Linked DNA regions of Mus musculus: all the other regions are reported to be linked to region 2. The links are microRNA targets in miRTarBase. Many come from high-throughput screens and were not tested one by one. Region 2 holds a microRNA gene; each other region holds the end of a gene's coding sequence.
Evidence for each region. The annotated mature microRNA mmu-miR-136-5p reads ACUCCAUUUGUUUUGAUGAUGG and lies in region 2 at 2,209-2,230, opposite strand. An mRNA with a match to its seed (bases 2 to 7 or 8) in the 3' UTR can be bound and repressed. Matches are read on the target gene's strand: a 7mer-m8 pairs with bases 2 to 8, a 7mer-A1 pairs with bases 2 to 7 and ends in A, and an 8mer does both.

Region 1 (5,384 bases), not on the chromosome of region 2:
ATCCAGATAATTTCTTGTATGTCCTCTCTGTTTTTTTCATCAGTTAGGGAAATAGCTTGCCTCTAAAGTGTAAGGTGGGAGCAAGTGGCAGCAAGTGAGTATAGTGGGCTCCAGAACATCATCTATAGGTTGCATCTGGGAGCCTCAGCAATCAGCCATTTTTCATGGGGATTATTTGTGCATTTTGACTGAAGACAGTGTTGCCTGAAACTTCTTTCATCACAGGGGCACAGCTGGGTTTGTCAGTTCTCATCTGTCATCCTAGTACTTGTAAGGTTGAGGCAGGGGCATTGCCAGCAGTTCAAGAACTTTCAGAGATAGAGAGTAAGCCCTTATCTTAAGAAAAAAAAAATCTTAAATGAAATAAAAAGAAAGAATGACTGCTTTCTACTTTAAAGAAATGTAGCTATTGTTCTGTTCCATGAGGGTTAATTGGTTTCAGCAGCAACTGAAGATTCCATACTTCATGGATTGTCAGGTCCTTTTTGTAAAATGATTTGGTATTAAGATAACCTCCTGTGTACTTGAAGTCATTCTTGATTACTTTTAATACATAGTATAATGTGAAGAGCATGCAAATCGCTCTTATGGTGTATTGTATAAATGATAATGATAAGAAACAAAGGGACGTTTGTGGCTGACAAATGTCAAACACCTGTGAGTTTGGGATAACTCTGCATGACTGTGATGGTCAAGATGTCATGTGATTATCTTTTCCCTTAGGTCTCAGACTGCAAATGGGAGCTGTAGTCTGTCTGTATCATGCTTGCCCCTAATTCTCATTCCTTTTCTCTGATTAGAGGAGGGCAACCAGCCTTGGCTCTGTGGAGAATCCTTTACACTGGCAGATGTCTCACTGGCTGTCACATTGCATCGGCTGAAGTTCCTGGGGTTTGCAAGACGAAACTGGGGACATGGAAAGAGACCGAACTTGGAAACCTATTATGAGCGTGTCTTGAAGAGAAAAACATTTAACAAGGTTTTAGGACATGTCAACAATATATTAATCTCTGCGGTGCTGCCAACAGCATTCCGGGTGGCCAAAAAAAGGGCCCCAAAAGTTCTTGGCAGCACCCTTGTGGTTGGTTTGCTTGTAGGAATGGGATATTTTGCATTTATGCTTTTCAGAAGGAGACTTGGCAGCATGATATTAGCACTTAGACCCAGACCAAATTATTTCTAGGTTTGTTGGGATCTGTGGTAGCAGCACACGGAATCACTCCACTAGACCCTCATCCACTTGTCCAGACCCAGTGAAGATTTAGCCTTGGCAATTAGTAGAGAGCATACTTTATATAATTCACGGGGAGCTCATGTGGGAGAAGGAGCTAATGATATGTTTTTTTCTTCTTTCTCTCTGTCTCTTTCTCTTTCTTCCTTTCTTTTTTTGTAGACAACATGACTTACTTCTAATCTATCCCTAAAGGCCAGTATAACTGCTGACAGATTGGGGGGAGGGAACCTTTGATGGAGATTGTTAGTTCATGTATGTTCTCAGGTATTTTTTGAGAGGTTGTAATTAGGAGCAGACAGTAATAACAACCCATGATTGCTCATAGTGCCTCACCTGAGAGTGACTGCAGGTCTGGGTGTTGAACAGTTATAGGATTCCTCTGGGACTCAGAGGCATCTTTGTTATACTAGACAGAGTTCAGACACAAACAAGACATTGTACTGATTCATCTTTCACTAGCAGCTTTAGGCATAAGTAAAGGAGAAAATGAGAAAGGGGAGAAAGAAAATGAGAGAATGAAGTACATCCAGAACAGAGCAGTAGATGCTAACCTCCAGTGGCCTTCATTGCTGCCCATGGTTGCCTCTCTCTTTGGGGAATTTCACATATACCTACTTGTGGTCATGTACCCTCCTTAACTCAGAACTTTTAGGGAGGAGAGGGCTGGGAAGTTAGTGGGGATAGTATACTGGGGAGAAACCTATGCACTGCATAGAAAACACTTCATTTGACCTTAATTATGAGTTACACTTGTTAATTTAATAAGATTAAGTTATTATGCACTTGAATGAGATGCCCATTGAAACATATGTCTAGCACTTTTATGAATGTCTAAAAGGATAGTAGGGTAGTCTTCATGGCTCCCATGGCCACGTGAGGTGCTCATCCTGTATATGATTGTCTTCAGTCCTGGGAACCTTGGCCTCGACAGCCCTATTTATGCATACAAGTAATATATAGATGAATGTCTCAAGTAAATATGGCTTATGGATGGTAGTGGATAATTTGATGAGAACTAAATATGCTTAGTTTTATTTGGAGAGACTAGTACATTCATGCACAAACTGTTGGCCAGGCTTTGTATTTGTTTATGATTATTGACAGAGCTTTACATTAAAGAAAAAAGTAAAAGCTAGCATTAGATATTGACAGCTAATTTGGGAAAGGTAAAATATATAGCTAGCTAGATGTCCACCCATACTCATCCATGTGTGTTTAAATATTTGGGGGATATATCAGTCCATATGGAAGAGACGGTTCATGGATGACCTAGGAATAGCCATCAGACTATAATGCATGATTTTTGCTCAGGACAAGCCTCCTATTAAAGCAGGGAGGCAGTTTTCCTGGAGCTGGCTGTCAAAGCCTTAGGAGAAGCTTCAAGAATCTGATGGGAAGCTTGTCCACAGACTGTGAGTAAAGAGAAAGTCTGCTTGGATGACCTCAGGTGAACTATGCACATGGCCAAAAAATGTACTGACGTTTATTAATAGGAAAATGTCACAACCAGCAAGCAATGGCTTTCTGATGATAAAAACAATTCTATAATTCCTTTTTGATTCTATTATTCCATTTCATAAGCTAGATGTACTTAAAAAAAGAACCCATATGAGCAGGATGTGTCCTGTTTGTAAAAAACAAGCAAAACAGCAACATCAAAACAAAAAACCCTAACACCCCCATGTGAACTCAGATCTATGATGAGGAAATGCACGCAGCTTTTGTGCCATCTTCCTCTGCCCATCAATGTGTCATGCAGAGTGTCTGAATCTGCTTATTGCTAGGACATTGCTGTCATTGTATTTATACAACAGTCATAAAATTAACTGACTAGTGATTCAGAATTTCTTACAATGTTCTGATAGAAATAAAAAGTGAGGCACAAAGAAGTAACAATGGGAATTTTGTAAAAAAAAAAAAAAATCTACAAAAGGTACTTATTTACTTGTGAAAGGATTGTTAAAGAGTGAATTTTCTTTCAGTATATGTTATGATGGAGTCAGAAAATCACCAGGAAATTATGATTTTCATCTGTAATTTATTTGGAGGTAGATGTGTGCCAGTGTTCAAGGCGAGGCATCCAAGCCTCTTCAATGTTTTATAGGTAGGTATTCTTGACATTAGTGCTTTAAAAATATTTGTCTAGTGATAAAACCCTGACCACTAGATGTCGCTGTTCACCCAGTAGTCTAAGACTGTTCCATTTGGTTTGGCATGTGTGAGAGGTTTCAAGTGACGATAAAACATTAATGACCTTAGTTTCTGAGGGAATCTTCATTAAGATTAGCCACCTGTGAAAAAGTTTGGGACAAATGTAGTATTGATTTCTTATGCGTTGCGAGTGATGTCAGCACCGTATGATAAGGAGGTGCACAGCCACTGTTAGCCAGAGAGGCACTTTAATGCATCTTCTTTTTAGGATCATGGTAACTGGTCAATATGCTTCTCATGTGAAAAAAAAAAGTATAAATGCCACAGCTAGAAAATGCCCAAGGCATTAACAGGTTATGTTGCCTATTTCTTAACATACATGCACACTATTTTATTGGTACTGCCATTATATGCCTTTTGATTCTCAAGACTGGTGAACTGCTTGCTCGTTTTAGTAATCATTGCTATTGATATCAAAGTTGTAATGTATTGTTGATTGTCATGGGAAATTAAAGATATTATTCTGATGGTAAGATCAATAAAAATAATTTGAAAATAAATGTTTTCTGGGTCACAAAGGGCTACTTTAAAAATCTTTTTAAAATGACATATTTTCACTTAAAAATAAAAGCGTCAGGACTGGAGTTGCTTAGTGGTGGAATCCTCATCAACATATAGAAGGCTTGGGTTTAATCCTGGTATTGAAAAAGAAAGAAAATGAAAACAATTAGAGGTAATAGAGGAAAGTCAGCAGTGCAGTTCTGAAGACAGATAGTTGTGTCATGCTTTCCTTGTAAGTCACTGAGTCAACTGAAATACACACTCTATGGCTACACTGAGTGGCAGCCTAAAGAGGAATGTTGATGTTAGTTATTAGAGCAGGGCACTTGAATCACATCCGGGATGAGCATCGAGTGGGAGGTTCTATGGATTGCTCTCAGGATAATTTATGTTTTTGACACAGCCACGTCTCTTCCTTTAATTGGGTATGGATTATGAACATAGAAACTACCACATGCATTTCCAGTATCAGTAAGCCTAGCTATTGTTCTACATAGCAACTAGAAACTGAGTACTATTTTAATGTTATCCTGACACAAGCTAAGTAAGCAGAAGTCTCCTTGCCCTTATCTTCCTTGAGTTCACCAAGCAAAAGTCAATACCCATGGAAAGCCAAGGAAATATGAAACTCATGTTGGAGAAAAAAAAGTCACCAATGGAAAAACACAAAAGGAAATTTAATACAACAGAATTAGTGTTAGACTTAAATTGCATATTATTTATATCAAATGTTGGCTCATTTGTTTTGTTTTCTGTACCAACATCAGAATATTTTGCTTCCCAAATGCTGCCAGCTAGTTTGCTGTTTTAGAAGGTAAGGCAGTGGAGTCTAAGGCAATTAAACAAAGTCAAAAGAGTACAAGGATAGTGGTTTGTTTACTTATTTGTTACATTATGAAAATGAAGCAAGATGGAGAGGAAGAACTCACTGGAGGGTGAGCACACCCACGAAAGCTGAAGCATGGGTTCTAAGGATGGAGGACCAAAGAACTGGTGAGATGATAGAGGGAAAGAAGTAGAGCAGACTCCCTGGTCAACACATCAAAGCCATGCCAGTTTGGAGACAATACACATGTGATGGGCAATGGTCTACTCCTGTGCAAGTAGAGGGGTCATCTTAACTATAGATGCCTTGTCAGAACCTAAGCATTGGGCTGGAGAGATGACTCAGTGGTTAAGAGCACTGACTGCTCTTGTGAAGGTGCTGAGTTCAATTCCCAGCAACCACATGATGGCTCACAAACATTTGTAATAAGATCTGATGCCCTTTTCTGGGGTGTCTGAAGACAGCTACAGTGTACTTACATATAATAATAGATAAATCTTTAAAAAAAAAAAAAGAACCTAAGCATTGGCTTCTTAACAGGAGCATTGCAGTGTTGTTAAGCCCACACAGTGCAGACATATGCACGAAAATGTGAAGTTGTAAGTGAAATAT
Region 2 (5,384 bases):
GATATCCAGGCATATTAAAATTTTTAGGACAAGAGATTTTTGGTTGAGGGCTGGAAAGCAGAAATATCTAATCCCTTACATGATCAAATTTGTCTGTAATATTTTAAGTATAGGCATTTTATTTAGAACGGGTATCATTTAGCTTTAAAATCGGATTGCTGCAAATTTAAAAATTGAAACCATGAGCAATTTTTAGGTGGAGACCTGCTGAGATTTTTATGTCCCGCAGATGAACTTGGGGATGAATTAGTCAAATTTTATATTTTAATAATAGACGACTTTTCCTGAAAGAGGAAATAAGTTGATTTATGTAATATGCTGTGCATGTTTCTGAGCTGATGGTCTGTACAGCAGGCTCAGGACCTGTGATCTCCAGTTCTAGGAATGAGAAGCCCAACGTGGACATTATGCTAAGGCCTTTCAATTTCAGCCAGGAGTTTTTTTTTTTTTTTTTTTTTTTTTTTGGTAAGTTTACATGTCAGACATGTTTATATAAAAGGTTTGGATTTAATATTGCCGACAGTAAATAAACAGTGAGAGGCTTTAATCAGAGGGGTTGCATGATCGAATTTAAGTGTCATGCTAACAAGGAGATGTCTAATTCTGAGAAACTGCAGACCCAAAAGCATCCTGCTGCAAGGTTTGGAGGATGGCCAACGGGAGTTTTACATGAATGACAACATGGGAGATTTCTGTTTATTTGGTTTTGTGTGTGTATGTGTGTGTGTTTCTGTTTTTGGATAGGTCAGCCCAGTGACCTTAAAAAAGAAAATTGAGAAGTAACAGAAGGTGCAGAATTCATAAAGACAATAGCTATATGGCTGAGCTATTGAATAACTAGCTTAATTTGTTTTGCAAACCAATACATCCCTTTAAATTCAATTTCCGTGCACTAAACCCTCCATGGCTAGATTTTCAAAAATTACGGAACAATCAGATTTCAAAGGTCCCATGCCCCCCCTTTCACCCAACTTCATACCTCTGTTAGATATACCCCTGTACCAGACGAAATCAACAGTGACAGAAAAGGGGGGGGGGGCACTTTTGAGAACGAAAACCCTGCTCCTGCCGAAGCAGAGGAGAAACTTGGAAAGATAGCATTTGTGAGACGTGCAGAAATGTTTGCATGAGCAGAATTGAGGCCAGATGTTTAAAGCTGCAGGAGCCCTGCAGACCAGGCAATCCTGGGAGAACAGTTTTTTTGAAAGCCCGGGAAAGGGTGTTTAGAAAGCTCCGACTCAGCTCAGAGCTGGAGAAAACGTGGCTTTGGACAGAGATCAAACCGAACAAGAGAAATGATACTATCCCTCCCCCACCCCCCTCTTATCCTGCATATGCACAAAGTGTGACCTAGGATGAAGCCATGAAAGTGCATGTTTTCAGCACATAGTAGGCATTTTATAAACATTTATGGGGAGCAAAATTAAAACCAAAAGCCATGGCTCTCTCTCACTTATTTCGGCTTGGAGCCTAGAGGAGGAAATAAGAGCTATTTTTGGCTGTTGACCCAACTGGCAGGATAGTGGCCAAGTGCCCAATTTCTCCTCTTTCCCCAGTTTGTGAAATAGCAGGCATCTCCCTGCAGATTCCCGCCTCCAACCAAGCTCACTGGGCTGGCTCTAGACCACCAAGCCTGCCAGCAGCCGCTTTGAGTGGCATTGAGATGTGACCTTTATGACTTTTGGGTGACTACAAATGGGAAGGGAACCTGGCCAGGGCAAAGCGGGCCAGAAGTGTGCCCTGCCAGGTGCTAGCTCGCCACAGAGGACGCTCCAGGCCAGTTGCTCCACAAAATTTATGGGCTGTGAATTTCTCATTCCACTAGAGGAAGTAGGCAGGTGGGGTAGTCAGACTCCGCCTGGAAGGCAGGTCAGGGGGTGACGGTCTTTCCCCTGGAGGTGCCCCAAGTAACCAGAAAAGGAGGCTGAACTGAATGCAGGAGGAATTTCTCCATTTTCTCTCTGATTCTAGTAACTTGGCATCTGCTTTGTCCTTGAGATAGAATCTGACCCTGCCATCTTGAGAACCTAAATTGCTACATTTTCTCCTGTCTTTTATCCCTCTGTCCCTAGGTTTTGGTCTCCACAGTTGCGGTCTCTGACCACACACATCACAATCTTACCAGTCTTCAGAGCACACTCCTTTCCAACCGACGACATGATAGAACCCTCTGAAGACTCATTTGAGACGATGATGGAGCTTAAGAATCCATCATCAAAACAAATGGAGTCCTCCGAGGGCTCATCCAACACCGTTGAAGAGACACCAGGCAGCAGTGGAGCCCAGGCGGGGGCCCAGGCAGGGGCCCAGGCGGAGGCCCAGGCGGAGACCCAGGTGGAGGCCCAGGCGGAGGCTCAGGCTGAAGCCCAGGTTGAGGCCCAGGTTGAGGCCCAGGCGGGCTCAGATAGTGGCCCAGCCCAGGAAGAAAAGGAGCCACCCAGTGGCCCCCTCAAGGAAATGCAAGAGCTGCCCACTAATCTACTCCAAGAAGTGGAGGAGCCATCCAGTGGCCCCCACCAGGAAATGCAAGAGCTGCCCACTGATCTACTCCAAGAAGTGGAGGAGCCATCCAGTGGCCCCCACCAGGAAATGCAAGAGCTACCCACTGATCTACTCCGGGAAGTGGAGGAGCCATCCAGTGGCCCCTACCAGGAAATGCAAGAGCTACCCACTGATCTACTCCGGGAAGTGGAGGAGCCATCCAGTGGCCCCTACCAGGAAATGCAAGAGCTACCCACTGATCTACTCCGGGAAGTGGAGGAGCCATCCAGTGGCCCCTACCAGGAAATGCAAGAGCTACCCACTGATCTACTCCGGGAAGTGGAGGAGCCATCCAGTGGCCCCTACCAGGAAATGCAAGAGCTACCCACTGATCTACTCCGGGAAGTGGAGGAGCCATCCAGCGACCCCTGTGAGGCATCATCTAACGATCTACCCCAAGACATGGAGGAATCAAGTGATGATGGTTCGAACCAGGAGTCGAGTGATGGTTCAAACCACGAATTAAGTAATGGTTCAAACCATGAGTCGAGCTTTGGTTCAAACCCAGAGTCGAGCGATGTTTCCAACCTGGAGTCAAGCGGTGGTTCAAACCAGGAGTCCAGCGATGGTTCACAAAAGGAGTCAAGCTATGATTCAAACCCGGAGTTAAGTGATAATTCAAACCAGGAGTTAAGCGATAATTCGAACCAGGAGTCAAGCGACAGTTCAAACCAGTCAAGTGATATTTCAAACCAGGAAGGGTCGGAACCACTCAGTGAGGCATCCGATTATAGCATGGATGAAACAATCAACTCATCCGAGACCCAGTCAGACCAAGATGATACTGACCTGGGAGATGACGAGGAAGAGGAGGAAGAGGAAGGTGGTGAAGAGGAAGGTCAGCCCAAGAACTCTCCAGAAGAAGTCGTGGCCACCATGGGGAACGTCATCTCGCTGTTCCTCCGGATGCAAGACCTAAAAGAACAACAGAGAGTGGCAGAAAGGCTCATGATGCAGGCTATCAACGAAGGTCGCCTGCCCTCCCTCAGGCCCTTCTCTGGAGATCGCAGAGACTACCATGAGTTTGTCGTGCTCTGCCAGATGACAATGCAGAACTACCCAAGTATGCTATACAATGATGAGCTGCGGGTGAAATTCGTCATCCGCCACCTGACTGACCTAGCCTTGGAATGGGCCAACGACCTCGTAGAGCAGAACAGCCCAGTGATAAACAACTTCTCAGCCTTCCTGGAGGCCATGTCAGAAAAGTTTGAGTATCGGCAGACCCTGCGTGTGGCGGAAGACGCCATGTTCAACATCAGGCAGGGGAACCGCTGTGCGGCCGATTACATCAATGAGTTCCGGGGTCTGATACCCACCTTAGGCTGGCCAGATGAAGTCCTGCAGGCCCACCTGTGCCAGGGGCTCAACGAAGAGATCAGGCACTATCTGTTCCGGATCCCTCAGCCGAATTCCCTAGACAACCTGATTGTACTTGTCCTGCAACTTGAAGAAAAGCTGGCAGAGAGAAGAGCATTACTCAGGCTGCCACCTGAGTCGCGCCCAAGAAGCGTAGCCTGGATGGATGCTCCCGCCCCAGAGAAGTGGAGGGTAAGCAGCTGGCTGCCCAATGAGTTCCACCCAGACATTGATCGCGATCACCTCTTCTTACTGCTCTTGGTGAGAGTGGACCCCTACCACAGTGTCGCAGTGCGGGCCCTGGTGGACTCAGGAGCAGAAGGGAACTACATGGATGAGAGGTTTGCCCAGGAACACTATGTGGAACTCTATGAGAAGCCTTATCCACAGATAATCCAAGGTGTGGATGGCATCCCAATTGGCAATGAACCCGTCTGGCTGTGCACCGAGCCCCTGGTATGTGTCCACCAGAAGCATTATGAGTACATCGAATTTGACATCTTACCTTCGCCCAACTTCTCCATCGTCTTAGGCATGAAGTGGCTCCGAACCCATGCCCCTGAAGTCGACTGGATGAGAGGCCGGTGTACCTTCCACTCTCCCTACTGTCTGCGGAATTGCTTCACCCCACCTCCACCATGCATCGCACTAGAGACATACAGCATAAGCCTACTGCCCGGATTGCCACACACATACTCAGACCTGGCCGACGTGTTTAACCCGAGGGAGGCAGATGATGAGACTTCCGACCAGCCAAGCTCAGACGGATCCGATGATCTTTCTGAATCAGAGCCCTCTGAGCTTCAGCAGGCTGGAGACAGTGATCAAAGCGGCGTCTTTTACGAGTCTGGGGCCCGAGAGACTTTGGAACCTGTGAGCGCCAGGATGCAAGAGAAAGCCAGGCAGCAAGAGAAAGCCAGGGAGCAAGAGGAATACTGGATACTGTATGACATGCTGACTGACAGACAAGACTACACGCAGATGGTACCAGAGCTATTCGACCAGCTACATGGAGCGGCATGGTTCACAAAACTGGAGCTGCTTGGGATTAAGGAAAGTGAGATGAGGCACACGGTCACACACACGGAAGACACTTGGAGAGCATCGTTCGGTTTCGGCCTTCACCAGATGAGATGCTACCGGCCCTTCACAATGAACTCATACTCTGACGAAGGGAACAACATTGTTCACTTCATCCTAAAAGACATCCTAGGGTTGTTTGTGATTTGCCATGGCAGAGAGGTCCTGGTCTACTCAATGAGCCAGGAGGAACACTCCCAGCATGTCCGCCAAGTCCTGGTCCGCTTTCGGTATCACAACATCTACTGTTCACTGGACAAAACTCAGTTCCATCGCCAGACCGCTGAAATCTTGGGCTTCAACATATCCCCCAAAGGGGTGAAACTGAACAAGAACCTTATGAACCTCATCGTGGGGTGCCCTGTCCCTGGCAGCAGGAGGTGTCTTCAAAGTGTGATTGACCT
Region 3 (5,384 bases), not on the chromosome of region 2:
CCTCGCAGGAAAGAAGCAGCAACCCTGCTCCCCGCAGACAGCAGGCATTTGTGGCCCCGCTCTCCCAAGCCCCCTACGCCTTCCAGCATGGCAGCCCACTGCACTCGACGGGGCACCCACACTTGGCCCCAGCCCCTGCTCACCTGCCAAGCCAGCCTCACCTGTATACGTACGCTGCCCCCACTTCTGCTGCTGCATTGGGCTCCACCAGTTCCATTGCTCATCTGTTCTCCCCCCAGGGTTCCTCAAGGCATGCTGCAGCTTATACCACACACCCTAGCACTCTGGTGCATCAGGTTCCTGTCAGTGTCGGGCCCAGCCTCCTCACTTCTGCCAGTGTGGCCCCTGCTCAGTACCAACACCAGTTTGCCACTCAGTCCTACATCGGGTCTTCCCGAGGCTCAACAATTTACACTGGATACCCGCTGAGTCCTACCAAGATCAGTCAGTATTCTTACTTGTAGTTGATGAGCACGAGGAGGGCTCCGTGGCTGCCTGCTACTAGCCCTGAGTTCTTAATGGGCTCTGGAGAGCACCTCCATTATCTCCTCTTGAAAGTTCCTAGCCAGCAGCGCGTTCTGCGGGGCCCACTGAAGCAGAAGGCTTTTCCCTGGGGAACAGCTCTCGGTGTTGACTGCATTGTTGCAGTCTCCCAAGTCTGCCCTGTTTTTTTAATTCTTTATTCTTGTGACAGCATTTTTGGACGTTGGAAGAGCTCAGAAGCCCATCTTCTGCAGTTACCAAGGAAGAAAGATCGTTCTGAAGTTACCCTCTGTCATACATTTGGTCTCTTTGACTTGGTTTCTATAAATGTTTTTAAAATGAAGTAAAGCTCTTCTTTACGAGGGGAAATGCTGACTTGAAATCCTGTAACAGATGAGAAAGAGTCATTACTTTTTGTTTGCTTAAAAAACTAAAACACAAGACTTCCTTGTCTTTTATTTTGAAAGCAGCTTAGCAAGGCTGTGCTTATGGCGTATGGAAACAGAGTGATTTCATTTTCATGTCGTGCTGTCCTTACTGGGCAGTTGTTAGAGTTTTAGTACAACGAGTACTGAAACCTGTGCAGCTGCTGCTGAGCTGCTCGCAGAGCAGCACTGAACAGGCAGCCAGCGCTGCTGGGAAGGAAGGTGAGGGTGAGGACTGTGCCCACCAGGATTCATTCTAAATGAAGACCATGAGTTCAAGTCCTCCTCCTCTCTCTAGTTTAACTTAAATTCTCCTTATAGAAAAGCCAGTGAGGTGGTAAGTGTATGGTGGTGGTTTGCATACAATAGTATGCAAAATCTCTCTCTAGAATGAGATACTGGCACTGATAAACATTGCCTAAGATTTCTATGAATTTTCAATAATACACGTCTGTGTTTTCCTCATCTCTCCCTTCTGTTTCATGTGACTTATTTGAGGGGAAAACTAAAGAAACTAAAACCAGATAAGTTGTGTATAGCTTTTATACTTTAAAGTAGCTTCCTTTGTATGCCAACAGCAAATTGAATGCTCTCTTACTAAGACTTATGTAATAAGTGCATGTAGGAATTGCAGAAAATATTTTAAAAGTTTATTACTGAATTTAAAAATATTTTAGAAGTTTTGTAATGGTGGTGTTTTAATATTTTGCATAATTAAATATGTACATATTGATTAGAAGAAATATAACAATTTTTCCTCTAACCCAAAATGTTATTTGTAATCAAATGTGTAGTGATTACACTTGAATTGTGTATTTAGTGTGTATCTGATCCTCCAGTGTTACCCCGGAGATGGATTATGTCTCCATTGTATTTAAACCAAAATGAACTGATACTTGTTGGAATGTATGTGAACTAATTGCAATTCTATTAGAGCATATTACTGTAGTGCTGAGAGAGCAGGGGCATTGCCTGCAGAGAGGAGACCTTGGGATTGTTTTGCACAGGTGTGTCTGGTGAGGAGTTGTTCAGTGTGTGTCTTTTCCTTCCCCCTCTCCTCTCTCCCCTTATTGTAGTGCCTTATATGATAATGTAGTGGTTAATAGAGTTTACAGTGAGCTTGCCTTAGGATGACCAGCAAGCCCCAGTGACCCCAAGCTGTTCGCTGGGATTTAACAGAGCAGGTTGAGTAGCTGTGTTGTGTAAATGCGTTCGTGTTCTCAGTCTCCCTACCGACAGTGACAAGTCAAAGCCGCAGCTTTCCTCCTTAACTGCCACCTCTGTCCCGTTCCATTTTGGATCTTCAGCTCAGTTCTCACAGAAGCATTCCCTAACGTGGCTCTCTCACTGTGCCTTGCTACCTGGCTTCTGTGAGAGTTCAGGAAGCAGGCGAGAAGAGTGACGCCAGTGCTAAATATGCATATTTGAAGGTTTGTGCATCACTTAGGATGGGATTCCTTTTCTCTCCTCCATGTGATATGATAGTCCTTTCTGCATAGCTGTCGTTCCTGGTAAACTTTGCTTGGCTTTTTTTTTTTGTTTGTTTTTTGTTTTTTTTTTAAAGCATGTAACAGATGTGTTTATACCAAAGAGCCTGTTGTATTGCTTAATATGTCCCCATACTACGAGAAGGGTTTTGTAGAACTACTGGTGACAAGAAGCTCACAGAAAGGTTTCTTAATTAGTGACGAATATGAAAAAGAAAGCAAAACCTCTTGAATCTGAACAATTCCTGAGGTTTCTTTGGGACAACATGTTGTTCTTGGGGCCCTTCACACTGTAAAATTGTCCTAGTATTCAACCCCTCCATGGATTTGGGTCAAGTTGAAGGTACTAGGGGTGGGGACATTCTTGCCCGTGAGGGATTTGTGGGGAGAAGGTTAACCCTAAGCTACAGATGTGGTCCACCTGAATTAAATTATATCAGAGTGGTAATTCTAGGATTGGTTCTGTGTAGGTGGTGTCAGGGAGGTGCAGGATGGAGATGGGAGATTTCATGGAACCCGGTCAGGAAAGCTCTGAACCAGGTGGAACACCGAGGGGCTGTCAACGAACTTGGAGTTTCTTCATCATGGGGAGGAAGAGTTTCCAGGGCAGGGCAGGTAGTCAGTTTAGCCTGCCGGCAACGTGGTGTGTGTTGTCTTTTCTTTAATCATTATATTAAGCTGTGCGTTCAGCAGTCTGTTGGTTGAGATAACCACGCATCATTGTGTAGTTTGTCACTAGTGTTATACCGTTTATGTCATTCTGTGTGTGATCTTTGTGTTTCCTTTCCCCCAAGCATTCTGGGTTTTTCCTATTTAAATACAGTTCTAGTTTCTAGGCAAACATTTTTTTTTTTAACCTTTTCTCTATAAGGGACAAGATTTATTGTTTTTATAGGAATGAGATGCAGGGAAAAAACAAACCAACCCTGTCCCCACCTCCTCACCTCCCTAATCCAATAAGCAGTTATTGAAGATGGGAGTCTTAAATTTATGGGAAAAGAGGATGCCTAGGAGTTTGCATCGTTACCTGAGACATCTGGCTAGCAGTGTGACTTTACAGACTTTGAGGTTGTCACTCTGCAAACTGACATTTCAGATTTTCCTAGATAACCCATCTGTGTCTGCTGAATGTGTATGCGCCAGACATAGTTTTACATTCATTCTGGCCTGGGGCTTAACATTGACTGCTTGCCCTGATGGCATGGAGGAGAGCCCTACGAACATAGCGCTGACCTAGGTCAGCATTGCCTGACCTTGGAACAGCTTAAGGCTTTAAACCTTCTCTTAGAACGTGCATTTCCAGTTTCTCCCTTCCCAGGTGAGAGAGGAACTGGAAGGGTTGCATAGGCACACACCAGGACACTTAGTCACTCCAGAGTCCCCAGTTGCAACTAGGAGGTGGTTACCCTGTTAACCCCAGGAAGAAGAACCCCATTTCAAACAGTTCCGGCCATTGAGAGCCTGCTTTTGTGGTTGCTCATCCGTCATCATCCGCTAGAGGGGCTTAGCCAGGCCAGCACAGTACTGGCTGTCCTATTCTGCATTAGTATGCAGGAATTTACTAGTTGAGATGGTTTGTTTTAGGATAGGAGATGAAATTGCCTCTCGGTGACAGGAATGGCCAAGCCTGCTTTGTGTTTTTTTTTAACTGATGGATGGTGCAGCATGTCTCCACGTTTCCATGGTTGTTTGTTGCTAAACTTTATATAATGTGTGGTTTCAATTCAATTCAGCTTGAAAAATAATCTCACTATATGTAGCAGTACATTATATGTACATTATATGTAATGTTAGTATTTCTGCTTTGAATCCTTGATATTGCAATGGAATTCCTACTTTATTAAATGTATTTGATATGCTAGTTCCTGTGTGTGGTTAAACTTTTTTTCTTTCTCCCTTTTCTGGTTGTGTGCTTCCTTTACAACAAGCTTCTAGAAACAGGTAGTTCTGAGAATTACTGATCTATGTTTGTAATGCAGGTGTACTTAGGGAGTATGTAAAATCATTTTAACAAAAGAAATAGCTATTTAAAATTTAATACTAACTATGGGAAAAGGGTCCATTGTGTAAAACATAGTTTATCTTTGGATTCGTTGTTGTCTTTGGTTTTACAAAGTAGCTTGTATTTTCAGTATTTTCTACATAATATGGTAAAAAAGTAGAGCAGTTGCAATGCATCAATAAAATGGGTAAATTTTCTGACTGTGGCTGGTTTCAATTCTGTGTTAGGACATGGAGGGGACTGACATGTGGCCTCTTTGAAGTGCCTAAGCATTCTGTTTGAACATGAGTAGAAAGAACACTGCTACATTAGAACATCTTTGTACACATTTCCATACTGGAAATGAATATAATTTTGTAGGAAGTATTTCCCTGACTCTGACCCCTTGAAAAGGCAGATGGCTTTTGAGATAAACTAATTAACATCATTTCCTAGCACATGACACCAAACATTCAAATCAGCACAGTGAAAATGAAACTTAGGGAAAGATATTTTTGTCTGTCTCCTTAGGCCCTGTTAGAGCTGTCACCTCTTTAGGGACAGCTCTGCGGTAATGCACCTGCTGCTCTTATGGAGGGTCTGGGTTCCATTCCCAGCACCCAGTCAGACCCCTCACAAGTGATTTCTAACTCCAGCTGCAGGGTGCATACCCACACAGACACATAATGAACTCTTAAAAACAAGAAGAACCTCTGATCCAATTTCTCTTGATTCCAAAGTGAACAAAATTTTCTCCTGAAAAGAAACTGGAATTTGTCTAGATTAATCACTGCAGGCCCCTTTGTAAATGCTGCATATTTGACTTCTTCTGATGTATGTTCCTGCCTAGCTCCCCTGTAGCTTTAGCTGGATAGAAAGGAGGAACATGGGCTGGAGAGAAGGCTTAGTAGTTGAGTGTACTGTTCTTTCAGAGGAGAGGGGCTCAGTGCTCAGGAACAATAGGCAGCGCACAATCTCCTAAAATTCAGCTCTGGAAGATCTGACGTC
Region 4 (5,384 bases), not on the chromosome of region 2:
AAGCAAAGCCCCCACTAACAAACACTGTTACATAAGCCTCCGGCCAATGTGAGCTTTTCATGCTACTGAACAAACAGGTCAAAAAGGAGTTTGTGGCACTGGCCAGGGTAACTCATCCTAACTACCCTGGAAAAATGTTCTGCTTCTACTCAGAACAAAGGAGACTGTATCTCCTTGAATAATCTTTCAGGTCTATGGTACAACCAACCTATTATTTGCTCTCTTCTATTACGGGGATCCTGGTGGTTTTCCTGAACCTGGCCATATTTTTTTTTGTAGTAAATAGTTCCTTAATTAAATCCTCACAACTATTCTGCTTTTAGCTGGGTCATGATAGCAGACATTTAATCCCAGCACTCCGTGGCAGAGAGAGGTGGATCGCTGAGTTCAAAGCCAGCCTGGTCTACAGAGAGAGATCCAGGACAACCAGGACTACACAGAGAAACTCTGCCTTGGGGGGGGGCAGATATTAGGCTTTGACTGTGCCATCTATTTCTTCCTGTGACCCTACTTGATACTTCAGATACCAGAGACATAGCCTTGAACAAAATAGAAAAAAAAATCTTATAAGGAAATTGAATGAGAAGTACCAAAATTAATCAAGAAAACTAGGAAGAGACAGGAACTATCTGGAAAAATGATAGGTAACAATGGTAAATTGTTACCATTAGACCTTACTAAATGTTACACTATTATACTATATCCTGTGTCAGATAGTGTCTTAGTTAGGGTTTCACTGCTGTGAACAGACACCATGACCAAGGCAACTCTTGTAAGGACAACATTTAATTGGGGCTGGCTTACAGGTTCAGAGGTTCAGTCCATTATCAAGGTGGGAACATAGCAACATCCAGGCAGGCATGGTGCAGGAGGAGCTGAGAGTTCTACATCTTTATCTGAAGGCTGCTAGCAGAATACTGGCTTCCAAGTAGCTAGGATGAGGGTCTTAATGTCCACACCCACAATGACACACCTACTCTATAGAGCCACACCTTCTAACAGTGCCACTCCCTGGGACGAGCATATCCAAACCATCACAGATAGCCTTCTCTTACTATGGACCCATAAAAGCTAGCAGCTTTGGGGGTCAATAAGTATACCAGAGTAGCACTCTGTAGACAACAAGTTGCCTCCAAAGTCCTCCGAAGTGTTGTGCCTTTTCTTTTTAGAATGGGTGGCATGCAAAACAGCCCTGTCCTGTCTTGCCAGGAAGGAACAGTCAGCACTGTGACACATCGTGTAAAGCGCTGAGTCACCTCTCCCCTTAGAAGTTTATCTCATCTGGTCTGCCAACCTTCCTCTGTCTTAGTGTTTACAGCTTTCATCTCTAGAGGTGAACAGAGATTAGAATGGCCTTAGAGAACAGGGATTGTTCATATACTCCATGGAGGCATAGTTCAGCACACTCCATACCACTGGATCCCTAGAAATCTCACTAGAAGGCCCAAGAAATTTTGTCTGATCTCTTTCTCACCGTCCAGCATGGTTTACCTGGGACACGGATTATCATCCGTGTCGTGGACTGGTGGGAAGTCTTAAGAGAGTCGTGATCACAGATAGTGACTAACTGCATGATGACATGTGGCCAGAGAATGAATATCCTCCTGAGGTAAGAAAGCGAGGGTGTACTGATGGCCTTGCCAGCTGCTAGATGCCTCTGGTGGGGCTGTACTGAGATATAAAGAGGGGAAGCATTTGTCAGTATGGCAGCTGCACACCTGATATGTTAATGGACTGAAGCAATAAAATCACAACTGCAATTGGAGTCACCTCTGAATAGCTTATGACTAGTATTCTCAAAGATGTGCTTTCTGCACAGGCCAAGCAGTGAACTAAGTGAGGGTCCTAACCCTCCATCCTTCAAGCCTTTAATGGTGTGGTAGTTGGAATAGGTATGGCACCCCAGATCATGCATTTGAATGCTTGGCTCATTGGGAGTGGCACAATTAGGAGGTGTGGCCTTGTTGGAGGATGTCTGTCACCATGGAGTCTGGCTTTAAAGTTATGCTCAGTGTGGTACACAGTCACCTGCTACTTAAGGATGGAGATGTAGAACCCTCAGCTCCTTCTCCAGTGCCATGTCTGCCTGGACACTGTCATGCGTCCCACCATGATGATAACCTCTAAACCTCTGAATCTGTAAGCCAGCCCCCAATAAAATGTTGTTCTTTACAAGAGTTGCCTTGGTCATGGCGTCTCTTCTCAGCAATGGGAACCCTAAGACAGACGATATCACACATCTCCACAATCCCTCCAGAGATGGGGGTGTTGCTTTCGCTTTCCTTGTCTTAAGCATACATGGTTTTACATTTGGGGAGGCTGTCAGTCTGAGATGAGAACATAAGCAGGCCCATACTCTTTTCGAAGGTTCCAGGAAAGGCTCTGCCCCAGGCCTGTCTCCAGGCTCCTGGTAGCTTGCTAACCTATGTCATACATTGGTTTGTGACAACATAATTTCAATCTTCGCATGATGTTCTGAGTGTGCGTTGAGTCTCCTTTCTCCCACATTGTGACAGGAGTTGTAATGGTTGATTGCCAACCTGACGGGAATGAAAACTCCCGGATTAGTAAAGCCAGCCTTGGTGGTGAATACACACGTGCTAACACCATCACCACCAAAAGAAGAGTACTGGGTGTCCTGTGACACTACAACAGTTATAGCCATCACTGGGCCACAGGAAACTTTCATCTCCATGGTAACCTGATAGGAGCGGAGTCATACACGCAGTGGAAGTGTGTGCTCTGGACTCTCTCAAGGTGGGTGGCTTATATGATAAACCCATTCTAAAATGCTGTTCTCCTGAGTATGGTGACTCCTGGTGTGCAGTCCTCTCCCCCCATGGGTCACATAGTGGACTGCACCCTTTGGTGCCTCCTGGAATGTGGGTCCAGATGGGTGGCAGAGAGGCCGGGAAGAACTCCTGGGGAGACTCAGCAGTCCCTTGCAGGAACACCTCTGTGATTACATGCCCTGCAGGCAAAGCAGCAAGGTCTTCTCAGAGGTGGAGCTGTCGCTAAGGGCAAGGAAGACACAGAACTGAGACCTTTATCTCCATTTCTATTCCTTGGAACTGCAACTTCTCCAGCCTGTGGTCTTCAACTAAAAATAAAAAACAGTCCTTGGTGGGTTGGGACACTTGAAGACTTAGTTTTAAAAACTGTCTTTTTTTTTAAGCAGAGGCCCTCATCCACCCTGAAGTTTTTTGTTGTTTTGTTTTTTAGTTATTTTGTGTGTGCATGTGTGTGGGAGGGAGGGAGGGAGGGAGGGAGGGAGGGAGGGAGGGAGGGAGGGAGGGAGGGAGGGAGGGAGGGAAGGAAGGAAAGAAGGGAGGAAAGAAGGGAGGAAGGTAGGTAGGTAGGTTGGGTAGTTGGTACCCTCACAGGTCGGATCTCCTAGAGCCGGAGTCAGAAGCTGCCCAACCCAGTTACTGAGAAGCAAACTCTTACCGATTCTCTAGTCCCCTAAGTTTCTGTTTTGTTAGAGACGGGGTCTCTCACTGTATAACCTTGGCTGGCTTCCAACTCAGAGGTTTCCTTCTGCCTCTTAAAGGTATGCACTGCTACTCTTAGCCTGTTTTGTCATTTTTCAATTAAGTGTGTGTGTGTGTGTGTGTGTGTGTGTGTGTGTATGTGCATATGAGTGCAAGCTCCCTTGGAGACCAGCGACAACCATGTCCCCTAGAACCAGCGTCTAGGCCAGTGTGAGCTGCCTGATATGGGTGCCAGGAACCAAACCCAGGTCACCCATGGAGCAGTACAAGCTCTTAACCAGTGCGCCATGCATCCCTTGAGCCCCAGAAGTGGGTGCCTGTGTGAGATGAGGAAACCACACACGAAACACGCTTCAGCAGTACAAAGAACAAGAATACTTCCTGTCTTTTTAATTTATTGTCATATTAATGTAAGGCTAAAACAAAATGTCACAACAACATCTGACAGTTTAAGACTCCACAGAGAACTCCATGCTTTTGCGTCTGAATGCTACCACCTGAAAACTGACGTCTAGCGGTTCCAAGCCTTCTGTGCATGTCGTTTGCTTTCTACCCTTCCTGTGAAAGGTCAGAATCCCCAGGCGCTGACCACCACAGAAGGGTCCAAGCTCTACTGATCAAGCGATTGCAACCCACAAATCAGCATAATTAGTAGTCGGCACTGGGCTTAAATGTTTGAAGAACAGCAAACACCAAGTGTTTTAATATCCAATAGAGGATCGTTGTTTCTACGAGGGAATGACTCATGGTCCAAAGCCACCTAGCTCAAGCGGTCTGTGCTCAGTCTCAGCAGGAGGGTGCTCCATTCCTAATGCCCCCTCTGGTATGAAAGGCTTGAGACACAAGCACAATGTCAGCATTCCACAGTGGCCATCGCTTTGAACTGCATGTTACATTATCATACAAACCATAGCATTTTGTCACATATCAACTCTTGGCCACAAACAACGGGACACGAAAAGCTACACAAGGACCAAACACCACACAACTTTTGGTTATTCCCATTAGCCAGGTGTTAAAGAGATGGTGATGACAAATCAGAAACTTTGCATCCAGTGTTTGCCTTCAATTTCCTATTTTACCGTCTTCTGGTGCCACCATATCCTAGGATGAGAAAAACAAAGTCTGCATTAGCTTTTCAAAATATATGAAAATTGTTCATAATGTTTCAGAAGTTGTATGTGCTTCTTGTCAGCACAGAAGAAAGCAAGCTATGAGGGAAGGCTACCACGCAGCACGACGTGGAACACGACAGTGTGAGACCCAACAAGGCAGACCCTCAGTCAGCAAGTCCACAATTGCTCTCAGGAAGGCAAGGAGGTGCTCCCATGTGAGCTAGCTAACAAGCAAGCCATATGCCACTATGCAAATAAGAACCACGAATATGCAAAGTCTAAGCCAAAAAATGCAGAAAGGACAGTGGGCCATACACCATGTCCTGCTCACTCACAACTCAAACTCACCGATAAAGGGACGAAACGGGGGCCGTGGACTTTTAATGGTTTAATGTGTTATTTGAATACCACCCACCCACCATCCCACATACTCCATAACAAACAGGCTGTCAATAGTTTAGAACATCGCTGAGCTAATCTGTCAGTGCAGAGGGTATGTACCTGTTGCTGAAATACAGCTGCCTGTCTGGATCTGTAAGTTCCACATCCATAGACTCAACCAACTAACGTTTGAATATATTTTTAAAAGATGCACCTGTAACGTACACATACCTGTTTTCCTTGTCATCCCCTAAACATTGGTGTAACGACTACAAACATACTGTGTGCACTGTCTGAGGACCATAGGTTATTCAGAGATGATGTAGAACACCTGGGAGAGCACGCTGTGCTAGTGATAGGCAGATACAATGCCATCTTTCTGTAAGGGGCTTGGGTA
Region 5 (5,384 bases), not on the chromosome of region 2:
TTTGTTTGGTTTTATGAGAAGGGAAGCGTATTTCCTTCAGCTTTAATGATTCATAAGACATACAAATTACAATACGTTGACTTGGTTCCAACTGTGAAGAGTCTAAAGAATTCAAATTCTTCAATTCATGCTCTTTTCCACAGACATATTTAAAATGAGAGAAAAATGGAAAAGAACGTGAGAAAGAACACAGACATGGATTGAATGAGTTTGATCCCATATTTGACACCATTGAGAGCACAACAAACCTATCAGGCTAGTGACAGCCTGTCTCACCTCCACGACTTTGCAACGAGATTGGACATACATGATTTTGGCTTCCAGGTTGAGAGAACTATATGGGCAAATGTGAACATGTGTGTGTGTGGGGGGGGGGTGCTGTAGACACATCTCATAAACACTGACATAGGACAATTCTCTTCATCAGTAGTTTTTTTTGGGGGGGGGTCCAGTCATGCAGAATAGCAGGCAAAGGTAGGCACCCTGCTATTGTCCTATGACACGGAGGACAAATGGTGGCAAATGAGGGCTGGGAAATTCATCTCTACTGGGATATACTGGCCGTTGGTCCCACATGAGCAAGAATAAAATGAACAGTTCACATGTAAAAAAAAAAAAATTCTACCACTTCGCTTTGACTGACCAAAGTGAATTAACAAAGATCTCTCTGGGTGCCCAAAGAGGAGATACCGTTTATATTTTAGTCGCAAGGAAAATGACTGATTTGGTTGTTTACATTCTCCATTTTTAGTTTGTTTAGTTAGTGCCATTTCTAAGGCTACACGTGGAAGACAGTGGACTCTTGAAGTTAACATGTGCACGTATCCATGAGGGCAGGAGTGTTGGAGTGGTGAGAGGATTGCTCTTCAGACCCAAAGAAGCTGGGATCAAAATCCACACCCCCCAAAGACTTCTCTGCTCTCTCTGGATCATAAACATTATCTTTCCCAGCAAAGTTAATTAACAAAATTCTTTACAGAACACAGTACGTTCTTATTTGCTAAGAAAACGGAACAGCAGTAGATTTTGTATAACCTGGCCTCTGTGGTAAATACTTAAGAGCTGTAGAATGAGACCAGTTAGTCTTTGCCCTAACAGATCACAGAATGATGTCTTGTTCATGCATTCAGTTTGTTCTATGCTCCATGACCAAGTCTCTCTCATCTACTGGTCAGCTGTTATCGGTGCCTTTATATGATACTCGTTCTGGTAGTGATAACTGACTGAGAGAAGCCAGCCACGCTACCACTGAGCCATCAAGTGAGCATGTTTCCTCCAACTGCTAAGACTTGGCTACATCCTAGTCCAGCCCTGGGATAAAGACCTATGAAGCTCTAATGATGGATTCTGAGAGATGAAGTATTAGTTTCCATCTTTATTGCACAAGAAAAAAATTGGGCTATAAGGTCAATGTATCCCATTGGAAAAAATGATCACACTGACCCACCAAACACTCCCTAACCAGCAAAAAAATACACCCTCTCCCTTTCTACAGAACACCATGGAACATATTAAGGACCAAGGTTGCCTACTGAAGGGACAGATTTGTAAGTCCTCACTATGCCAACCTTCTGTTGCAAAATGAATACATGAAGCTCCTTTGAATCTTCCACAAACACAGTCCAGGTCTCAGAACAGTTCTCTGCCCCCAAAACAAGAACACTCTTGTGTGTAACCGATATTACATAAAATAAATACTGGGTTTTTTTTTTTCCTAGCAAGACCCACTAGAGGGCATAATGTATACTGTGAACATTCTCAGAGCATTGGGGGTCTCAATGGGAATGTTTTGACATTGACCCTCAGGGTTGTTTCTCCTCCATCCATCCCTGGCTTAGCTAAAAACCAATCCTTCATGAGATCCAGGAGCTAAATGTTCATCTTTCCCTCAATGTGCTATTTAAAACCCAAGAGATTTGCTTCCTATTTTCTTGTCCATGGGGGATCTCTGTCCAAGGGTGCCGGCCACTAGGAGACGTGCTACTGGTACCCAGGCTAACCTGAAGGAGGGGAAGACGAGGTAATCTGATTTGCCTGCTTTCATCTACCCAGTAGAAATGGTCAGCACTTGTCAGTAGGATCCTGACTGTTAAGCACATCCGCCATTCCGCTGAGAGCCCTGCCTGTCTGTCACCATCTTGATTATTATGGAATTCCCCCTTGAAACTTGTTTCTATCAAGCAGTTGTCTGGGCATTAATCTGGTGTGATATAGGGTGAGGGAGTGCAGAGATCACACTCATAAAAGCAAACTACAGAAAAAGAAGAGAATACAGGTAAGTTAAGAAATAGAAAAAAAAAAAGAACGAAGGTAGATGGGAAAGGGAGAGAGATCATGAAAATGAATCAGTGTTTATAAAGATCACTTTGTCCACAACATTAACCAAAAGATCCAGCTACAGACGGATATCTTTATCCAGGGGAATGAGCTGCACCCTCTAAGATCTGAAGGTAGCTAGCTAGCTCCCGCCCACCACTTCTCTTCTCTCCCTTTTCAATATCACGTCTTGCAATGAACCGTGCTGTGGGAAGCAATCCCAGGAATGGCCACACAGCAGTGTGTTGTCTGTATGTAGTGTGTGTGTGTGTGTGTGTGTGTGTGTGTATTTGTTGGGAATGGAGGGATGTGGTGGTGGCAGGAGTTGGGGATGGGTCTGAGGCTTCTGACTGACTATTGCTTGAAGAGAGAAGATCTTCCACGCTGTTGGGTTTAAGGCAGTTTGCAGAGCCCCGGCATTGCTGTTTCCTCTGTAGTCAAGGCTTTCCCATCTGCCAGGCCCATTACCTTCATCTGCTCACACGTTCCACTTTTCCTCAGGTGAAATATCACCACAGGGGTGAGCACCAAAGTGGCCAGAGTGCAAATAACTGTAGTGGATGCTTCACCCAAGGGAGGAAGAAGGGAAGCCAGGCCTGGCCTGTTATTGCTCAGAAGCCACACAGGCATTGCCTTGTATATAACCACGATGTTTCACAGTGCCTCTCTGAGTGCTCAGATAGGATCTCTCGGGGATTTGAGCTAAATTCAGATGATTTCACTAAACACACAAACGTTTCATGGCTTTAGGACAAAGTCGCTGCTAATGCTAGCTAGTAGGAGCTACGTTGGCACGGCGTTATTGCTCTCGTGTATCTACTGCAGTACAAAAGTCAGGTTATCAGCCCTTCTCAGATTACACACATCTATGAAAATACATCAATAAGTATGAAACACCAGTCATACCAAGGGGCCTGGGAAATCCCTCTGAGGGAAAACACAGCCCATGAAGATGCTTGGAGATGCTATCCTGAAGATCTCTCTGTGTGCTTTGGGGATTTTATTTTAATTATGTTATCCAATTCCAGAAGAGGGAATAAAATATCAGCAGGGGAGGACTCTGGGAAGCAGCTCACACATGGGAAACATGCCCTATAATCTCCATCAATCTTCTCTAAAGTCAGTCACATGAAGGTCTCTCCACTGTGTCTCGGGAAAGGGCTTTTACCACCCGGGATTTGTGCACAATGATCCTGTCTTGACGCCTGTCCCTTCCTTCAGCAACTTGCTCTTTTGACCGTAATTTTAAAAATAAACAATAGTGTCCAATGTTTAGAACACAGATGCGCCATCCCCCGGCCCCTGGGCAGTGGTTTCCTTCCGTTCAGTCTATACTGCAGCAATACGCTCTGGTCCCTGCTACTCACTGACTTCCAGAGAGAGCGCCCTTGGCTTTGACTCACATCTTCCATCTAAAGGACAACCCTATTTAGAACCTGAAAGCTATTGCTCCCTCCCTCCCCCCACCCTGGATTTAAGCATCACATATGTTCTTTCTACAAATTGGTATACAGGTGCCATTTAATCGGTTCAAATTCGGAAGCTACATCTTCAAGGGTCTGAGAGTTCACGCCTCCATTTTCCCCCTTTACATAGTCTCTTATAAGACATACAGCTTAATCAATTAACAAACTAAACAGCTTATATACTGGCAATATATTACAGATGGATTTATGTCAGAGTAATAGATCACATGAAATGGACCATGTGGTACCCCGGTGTGTGTCTTGGTGGAGCCTGGAGGACACTGACAGGAGCATCTCTAAGTGCTGTTTGAATACAGACACATGCGGGATCTGTATCTACATCCATCTGACTAGGCCGGAAGAGCAGGTAGACGCGAGATAGAGACACACACATGCTGGGCGGGACCCGTGCCCACCTCCTCATGCCATTTGAAGGGCAGTTACAGGTTGCTGGTTCTGCAGCCACTTAAGTTACACTTTAGGGAAAGGTTTCTCTAATTGTGTCTGATTTGTCTTGTGTAGTAAGCACTGCTGGAGGGAAACCAAAGCGAGCGCAACTAGAAGTTAAGTATACATTTCAGCTCAGCTGTGATACAGAACTTTGGAGAAGCACGCAGAAAAATTTAACTTAATTTTATGTTGGATCTCTCTATTGTTATTTTTTTCTTGACCTTTCGTGAGTGCGTTGTGACAGTGTGTGTGTGTGAGAGAGAGACAGTGTGTGTTTGTGTGTATGTGTGTGTGTGTGTGTGAGCAAGCTGAGTGTGTGTGAGAGCAAGCTGTGTGTGTGCATGTGTGCTGTGTTCTATCGCGTCATCTCCTGAAGAACGCTGGGTTTCGCAGGCAGGCGGCTAGTCACCTGCAACAACCCAACGGTCCCGCCGAGGCCTCCAGGCTGCTGTCAGTGTCAGATGCGAGGGTCTGGTCGGTGGACATGGAGGAGATGTCGTTGACAGACGAGGATGGAGGGAGACTCTCACTGCTGTTCACTGCTGCACCTGTGCTAAGAAAATGAAGACCAACATGACTAAATCTGGAACCAGACCCATGTGCTCAGGATGTTCAGTGTGGGGATGGGTATAACAAGAAGAAATGTCTCTTCTATCTCTTTGGCAGACCTTCATTGAACTGAACTTGATGGTGGAACTCAAGGAGACACAATTCAGAAACCCCATCGCATGTCACATCTATTCACAGGTTAATGGTTATCAATTTCGCTCTGGATTAGAAATCACTCACTGCTCACACCATCCACCTCTAAGTCCCAGTGTTGTAACGATACTGAGCTTGGGTGAAGCCAAGGCCGTTGCATCCTTATGTAAGACCCTAGGGGCTCTATAGTCATTCAGGGGACAGAAAACCACTGGCCTGATCCTGAAGCTTTCGATGAAGGAGGTAAAACAAGCACACATGATGGTCTTAGACCAGAAATAAGCCAAGGCAAAGCCCAGCGGTCAGAATTTGTGATGACTACAGCTCTAAGGAAATGTAAGTATATAAAACACAGAGTATTATATAATCATTAAATGGAATACCAAAATGCAGATCGATGTTGAAAAGCCAAGACTCTAGAGAAATGTTAGTGGCGAGCAGAAGGAAAGA
Region 6 (5,384 bases), not on the chromosome of region 2:
CACACAACACACACAGACACACAGACACAGAACACAGAAGTCTGAGTTACTTACTCCGTGAGCTGATTTTTCTTTTCTTTCTTTCTTTCTTTTTTTTTTAAAGATTTATTTATTTTATGTATGTGAGTACACTACTGTAGCTGTCTTCAGACCCACCAGATGAGGGCATTGGGTTCCATTACAGATGACTGTGAGCCACCATGTGGTTGCTGGGAATTGAACACAGGATCTCTGGAAGAGCAGTCAGTGCTCTCAACCGCTGAGCCATCTCTCCAGCCCCCAAGGAGGACTAATTTTTCACAAAAGGATCCTATCTGTTTCCTGAATAGCTGCCCACCCAATTTTTTAAAACATTATTATTGTTTTGTTGTTGTTGCTATTGTTATTATTGTTATTTTTGGCTTTTTAGACAGGATTTTTCTGTAGCCCTGTCTGGCTATCCTGGAACTCACTCTGAGGACCAGGCTAGCCTCGAACTCAGAAATCCACCTGCCTCTGCCTCCCAAGTGCTGGGATTAAAGGCGGGTGCCATAGTGCTCAGCTTCAATTTTTTTTTTTTTTGAGATAGGGACTTATGAAACCCAGGCTGACCTCAAACTCAACATGTATTGAAGAATTACGTGCCATTGTCTCCCCAAGGGCTGGGGTTACAGGCGCGTGGCAGTTACCGCTCCTGGCCTTTTATTTATTTTTATTTTTGTTTTCTAGACAGCCTCTTAAATCATGATCCTCCTTGCCCCTTTAGGGCTTGCAGGGTGCAACACTGTGCCCTGCGTGCTGTCCTCTGCTTAACCATTCCCTGTGGTTGCTTCTGCAGGTTCATAAGTTCTACCGGGGTAGCGGAGGCAGTTTCAGCAAGGCTCAGGAGGAATGGACCACTGGAGCGTGGAAGAACCCACATGTGCAGCAGGCAGCCCAGAATGCAGCCATGGGGGCTGCTCAGGGTGCCATGAATCAACCGCAGACTCAGTATTCTGCCACTCCCAACTACACGTACTCCAATGAGATGTGAGCCAGCCAAGCCCACCAGGAGGCAGGGCTGGGGGCCAGTGGGACAGGGGGCTTAAGCCACATCTTCTGTGTGGTGACCAAGCAGGGTTCCCCCTTCCCTTTTCTCCTCCCCAACTTTGTACAAAGAATCAGAGTTATATATATATATATATATATGTGTGTACGTATATGTATATGTCTATCCCTGCCCCCACCTTTGGGTCCTCTGGGAACTTTGCACTGCACAAGAAGTGTTTTCTGTGCATTGGTAGCCAAGCCTATGTCCCCTTGTGAGATAATGTACAGTGGCGATCTCTTGTTGTGGTGCTAGATGTATGTTTAGAACTAAACCAGCCCCCTCCATCCATCAGGTTGTCCCCTCTGACCCTGGCCCAGAGACTCCACAGGCCAGGGGGAGGCCTAGCAGGGAGCCAGATACCTTGTGCAGGGTGATGAGCCTAAGCTATTTCTGCCTTTAGTCCCATTGGGAAGCAACAGTATTAGTGTTCATGGTGATAGGCAGGTTCTAGGCGATGGGACAGAGAGGATGTCCCCTTGCTCCCTGTAGTCCTCCCTCCACCTCCTCTTCCCCTCGTTCCTCCCTCATTGTGAGATTCTTTGTGCTCATTTCCCTAGCTGGCTCCTCCGTGATCTTTTTCCTCCCCATGTAGCTTTTCGTTGTCTTCCTAAAGCGGGGTGTCTCAGTTATGTCTGCTTTTAAGACTACCCAGATACCCCCAATCCGCTCCCCAGTTCCAGGAAGCTGACATGGGAGCTCAGCCAACCCTGACGTGGAAGGGGCACCCAGCTTGGGGATTCTGAGCCCATTTGGTACTTGATACGGGGGAGGGGGGGGAATGGAAATGCAGAGCTGATCTCCTTGATTCTGCAAGCCTGGCCCGCAGAGGCAGGCATCTCCTTTTCCCTCTCCTGGCTTCCACCCCTTGCTGCCCAGATCCACCTTGAGCCGCTCTGCATTTCCCGCTGGCTTGTATGAGGCACTTGCCAGGTGTAAAGGCCGTGGTGGAACAGAGGGCATCATTGGTCGCTGGGGGAGGTGTGGCTGGCCCCAGCTCAGAAGGGCTTCTAGCTTCTCAAAGTGACCACTGGATTCCTGGAAGGAGTAGCTGTTCTAATTGAGTCTGGCAGAAAGGATAGAGGTCAGAAGGTTAGGTCTGAAGGGGGAAGATCTGAGGAGAAGTCAAATAGGACCCATTGAGAGGGTAGTTCACCTCTCCAGTCTCCCTTGTCCTGGCTACAGGACACATTCTGCAGAGATGCTCCCAGGCCCAGTTCAAGCTGCAAGCACAATGTCCTGAGTAGGATTCCTGGTTGGCAGGAGGAAGGGCAGGATGGCTCTGCCTTTAGTTTTTAGTTTAGTGTTCTGTCCTTCCCTCCTCTTCCATTCACGAGAACGACAGGATTCGATTCCAGGCCTTTCCTTAGTTCTCTTAGAACCCTCATCTCTCTCTAGACTGATCTTAGTTCCTGGGACTGTATCTTTCAAGCAGGGTGTGGACATTGTCTGGTATCTTATTCCTCTGCATGAGGCCTGAGGTGGGTAGGCCTTACCAAGGAGCAGCTGGCTGTTTCTCATCTCCTTGCAACAGAAACCCACCTAGGCTAGGGAGACTGGAAAACCATACCACATTGGTTTGCCTTGGACCCTAAGACTTGGTTTCAGGCCACCTTGAGCTTTGATTTTTCAGCTTCTTCCTTGTAAGAGAATCCAAGAGTGTCTGGAAAGTTCCTTTCCTGTTGACTCCCTAGGCTTAGTTGATTCTCTCCCCTACTGTTTTCTCTATGGAGAGCAGTTGTCATAGCTCCTGCTACCCTGAGAGATTCTAGGGCTAGGCTCTTCCTCCTCTTCCCTTCTCCCAGCTCCCTTTCTCTTAGTCCTCTGTTACTTCCAGGAAAGCTGTGATCCAGCTGCCAGCCTAGCATCCACAGCTGTTGGGTGTTACCCCCAGTCAACTTCCTGTCCTATCGGCCTCTCCTCTTTCCTGGCTCACACCTATTGGCCATGCCTGGCACTGCCCTTGGGAAAGCCTGTCACCAGTGTCTGGCCCAGCTGCTCAGGCACTGGGATGCTGCATCTTCAGGCAACTATGCACTTTGATGAGGAGAGAGTGAGAGAGATGGGGCCGGGCACAGATGGTTTGCTTGAGGGGTGGGAGGGCCTGGTGGATGCTGGGAGTCCTCCTGTCTGTCGCCAGCCAGTGACCTGCTTTTGCATTCTCCTGGTGCCCACTGCCCCTTGTTTCTGAGAGACACAAACTATCCCCTCATTGGCAGTTGACCTGCCCGAGCCAGTGTCTATCTGTGTAACTGGATGAATATAATAAAGGGATCATTTGACCCTGTATGTCCCTCTGTGTTACTTGTCTCCATGTGGGTCTCAATGAAGCCTTGATGTGGGATGTGAAGCAGGGTTGTGGAATTGAGTTGAGTGGATCTGTGATGCCAAAAACCATGTATTTTGTGATCCTTCCTCTGAAGCAGCCCTGAGTAGGCCATGAAGTAGTTGCCACAACTACCAGTTAGGAAATAGGAGTGGCCTGTAACACTGAGTGAGGCGCATGGCCTGACTGTGTCTGTGACTTAGGGTTTCCATTGCTGTGAAGAGACACCACGACCAAGGCAACTGTTATAAAAGGATAACATTTAACTGAGACTGGCTTGCAAGTTCAGAGGCTCAGTCCAGTATTGTCAAGGCGGGAAGTATGGCAGCATCCAAGCAGTCATGGTGCTACAGAAGCTGAGAGTTCTATAACTTATTCCAAAGGCAGTCAAGAGAAGACTGGCCTCAGGTGGCTAGGAAGATATATTTGCCCACCCCCACAGTGACACACTTCCTCCAACAAGGCCACACCCACTCCAACAAGGCCATACTTCCTAATTGTTCCTAATTCCCTGGGCTAAGCATATTCAAACCACCATAGCCCTTAGTGTTAGGACTAGAAGACTGGCCTTCCTTAGCTCCCATGGTGGGTCTCTTGAAGCTGATTGAGTGGGCTCAATGAACATGTAAGTTCTTGAAATTTCTGATTGCTGCAGGGTAATGACTACAACGATTCGAATGTGCCTAGGCTTTGCCAAAGATGTGCTCTCTAAGAATGTTGTCTAGATCCTCTGTGATGGTCATCTCTCAAGATTCCTCTCAAGTAGCAATGGGCACGGTAGCACACCCCTTTGATCCCAGCACTTATGAGGCAGAAGCTGGCAGAGTTCTAAGTTTCAGACATGCCAGTTATTGAAAGAGAGAGAGAAAGGAAAGAAAGAAAGAAAGAAAGAGAGAAAGAAAAGAAAAAGAAAGAAAAGGAAGGAAAGAAAAAGAAAAAGAAAGAAGGAAAGAAAGAGAAAGAGGGAGAGAGAGAGAAAGAAAGAAAGAAAAAAAAGAAAAAAAGAAAAAGATTGCTCAAAGTGAGCCTTTCAATGTCGCGGCTCCCCTGCCTAATGTGGCTTTAGCCTTGCACAGGGAGCCCCAATGACTACAACTCCCAGAAGCCACAGAAATAGACCACGACTCCCAGAAGGCCATGCGATCACTCGCTTTCTCTGGAGTCATTTAGAGCCGGAAAGGCGCCTAGATACCGCGATACTTGCGGGTATCCTGGAGCTGGTGAGCAGTGGAAGGGGCGGGAAAGCTGTGTCGGTGGTGCCGCCGGGTGGGGCGGTGGGAGAAGCTCCTCTGGTCGCTGTGGGTCCGCGTGAAGGTCCATGTGTAATGTGTCAGATGTGGGGCTATAGGTGTGACTCCAGTCTCAGAATTGGGGGCTATGCAGCTGCACCGGTGCCCGCAGATATCATGCTCTATCCTTAGTTTAAAAGACACCCACACTTGACGCTTACCTTTGAAAAACTGCAGCATAAGGTGCCCCCCTCCCAAAGATTTAGGACCGCCCCGAAATACAAACTTTTTTTTTTTTTTTTAAATTACGTTTATTTTGTAAGAGGGGTGGCTGTCACAGCGTGCGTGTTGAGGTCATAGGACGACCTGCAGGACTCAGTTCTACCCTGTAAGTCCCGCCCTCATTCAGGGCCTCAGACTTGTCTGCAAGCTACCTTGCTGAGCCAACGTGCCTCAAATTGTATTTTATAATCATAAACGAGAGAAAGGAGAACGCTGGCAGTATTTAGATGCTTAAACCCTAAACTTGCCGAGTGGCATTTCAAATTAGAGTTAGAGCAGTTTTTGTCAGAAAAAAAAATGTCACCGTCACCGACGTTTGGAATATTGGAAGCCAGAACTAGATAGTGGGCAGGAGAGATTCCCAGCTGCAGGAAGTGATGCGTGTTTGGGAGCTGGGGTCTTCTGCTTCTTTCTAGCAGCTGGGAACCAGCAAGGCTGTGATGTATCTTCCTGACACGTGTCCTCAAGAGGTGTACAGATG

Region 1: the mRNA of Gdap1 is a reported target of mmu-miR-136-5p. Seed matches in the 3' UTR shown: 7mer-A1 at 1,468-1,474.
Region 3: miRTarBase lists Hipk1 as a target of mmu-miR-136-5p. Seed matches in the 3' UTR shown: 7mer-A1 at 2,887-2,893.
Region 4: the mRNA of Saraf is a reported target of mmu-miR-136-5p. Seed matches in the 3' UTR shown: 7mer-m8 at 4,292-4,298.
Region 5: miRTarBase lists Mapk10 as a target of mmu-miR-136-5p. Seed matches in the 3' UTR shown: 7mer-m8 at 3,890-3,896, 7mer-A1 at 3,415-3,421 and 8mer at 739-746.
Region 6: miRTarBase lists Scamp5 as a target of mmu-miR-136-5p. Seed matches in the 3' UTR shown: 7mer-A1 at 2,794-2,800.

Annotation. Positions count from the first base shown.
Region 1 is chr1:17,160,327-17,165,710 of GRCm38, forward strand. It overlaps Gdap1 (ganglioside-induced differentiation-associated-protein 1), which reads left to right. Exons shown (of 6, transcript NM_010267.3): 6 at 801-3,945. The coding sequence ends at 1,183. Among named protein-coding and RNA genes, the nearest start is that of Gm28784, 5.4 kb to the right of the region's middle.
Region 2 is chr12:109,592,177-109,597,560 of GRCm38, reverse strand. Mir136 (microRNA 136) reads right to left here and starts at 2,234; the gene lies at 2,173-2,234. Rtl1 (retrotransposon Gaglike 1) reads left to right here. Exons shown (of 2, transcript NM_184109.2): 2 at 2,073-5,384. The coding sequence starts at 2,158. 6430411K18Rik (RIKEN cDNA 6430411K18 gen) reads right to left here. Exons shown (of 1, transcript NR_002848.3): 1 at 4,710-5,384. Mir127 (microRNA 127) reads right to left here and starts at 4,715; the gene lies at 4,646-4,715. It also overlaps Mir434, Mir432 and Mir3071.
Region 3 is chr3:103,739,028-103,744,411 of GRCm38, reverse strand. Hipk1 (homeodomain interacting protein kinase 1) reads left to right here. Exons shown (of 16, transcript NM_010432.2): 16 at 1-4,597. The coding sequence ends at 464. Among named protein-coding and RNA genes, the nearest start is that of Olfml3, 3.7 kb to the right of the region's middle.
Region 4 is chr8:34,169,307-34,174,690 of GRCm38, reverse strand. Saraf (store-operated calcium entry-associated regulatory factor) reads right to left here. Exons shown (of 6, transcript NM_026432.4): 6 at 3,844-4,595. The coding sequence ends at 4,570. It overlaps Gm33638 (a long non-coding RNA gene), which reads left to right and starts at 1,503. Exons shown (of 3, transcript XR_870316.3): 1 at 1,503-1,609; 2 at 2,517-2,757; 3 at 2,978-3,144.
Region 5 is chr5:102,908,548-102,913,931 of GRCm38, forward strand. It overlaps Mapk10 (mitogen-activated protein kinase 10), which reads right to left. Exons shown (of 14, transcript NM_001081567.2): 14 at 1-4,780. The coding sequence ends at 4,638. Among named protein-coding and RNA genes, the nearest start is that of Gm30396, 280 kb to the left of the region's middle.
Region 6 is chr9:57,439,298-57,444,681 of GRCm38, reverse strand. Scamp5 (secretory carrier membrane protein 5) reads left to right here. Exons shown (of 7, transcript NM_020270.3): 7 at 818-3,355. The coding sequence ends at 1,012. It overlaps Ppcdc (phosphopantothenoylcysteine decarboxylase), which reads left to right and starts at 4,568. Exons shown (of 7, transcript NM_176831.5): 1 at 4,568-4,612.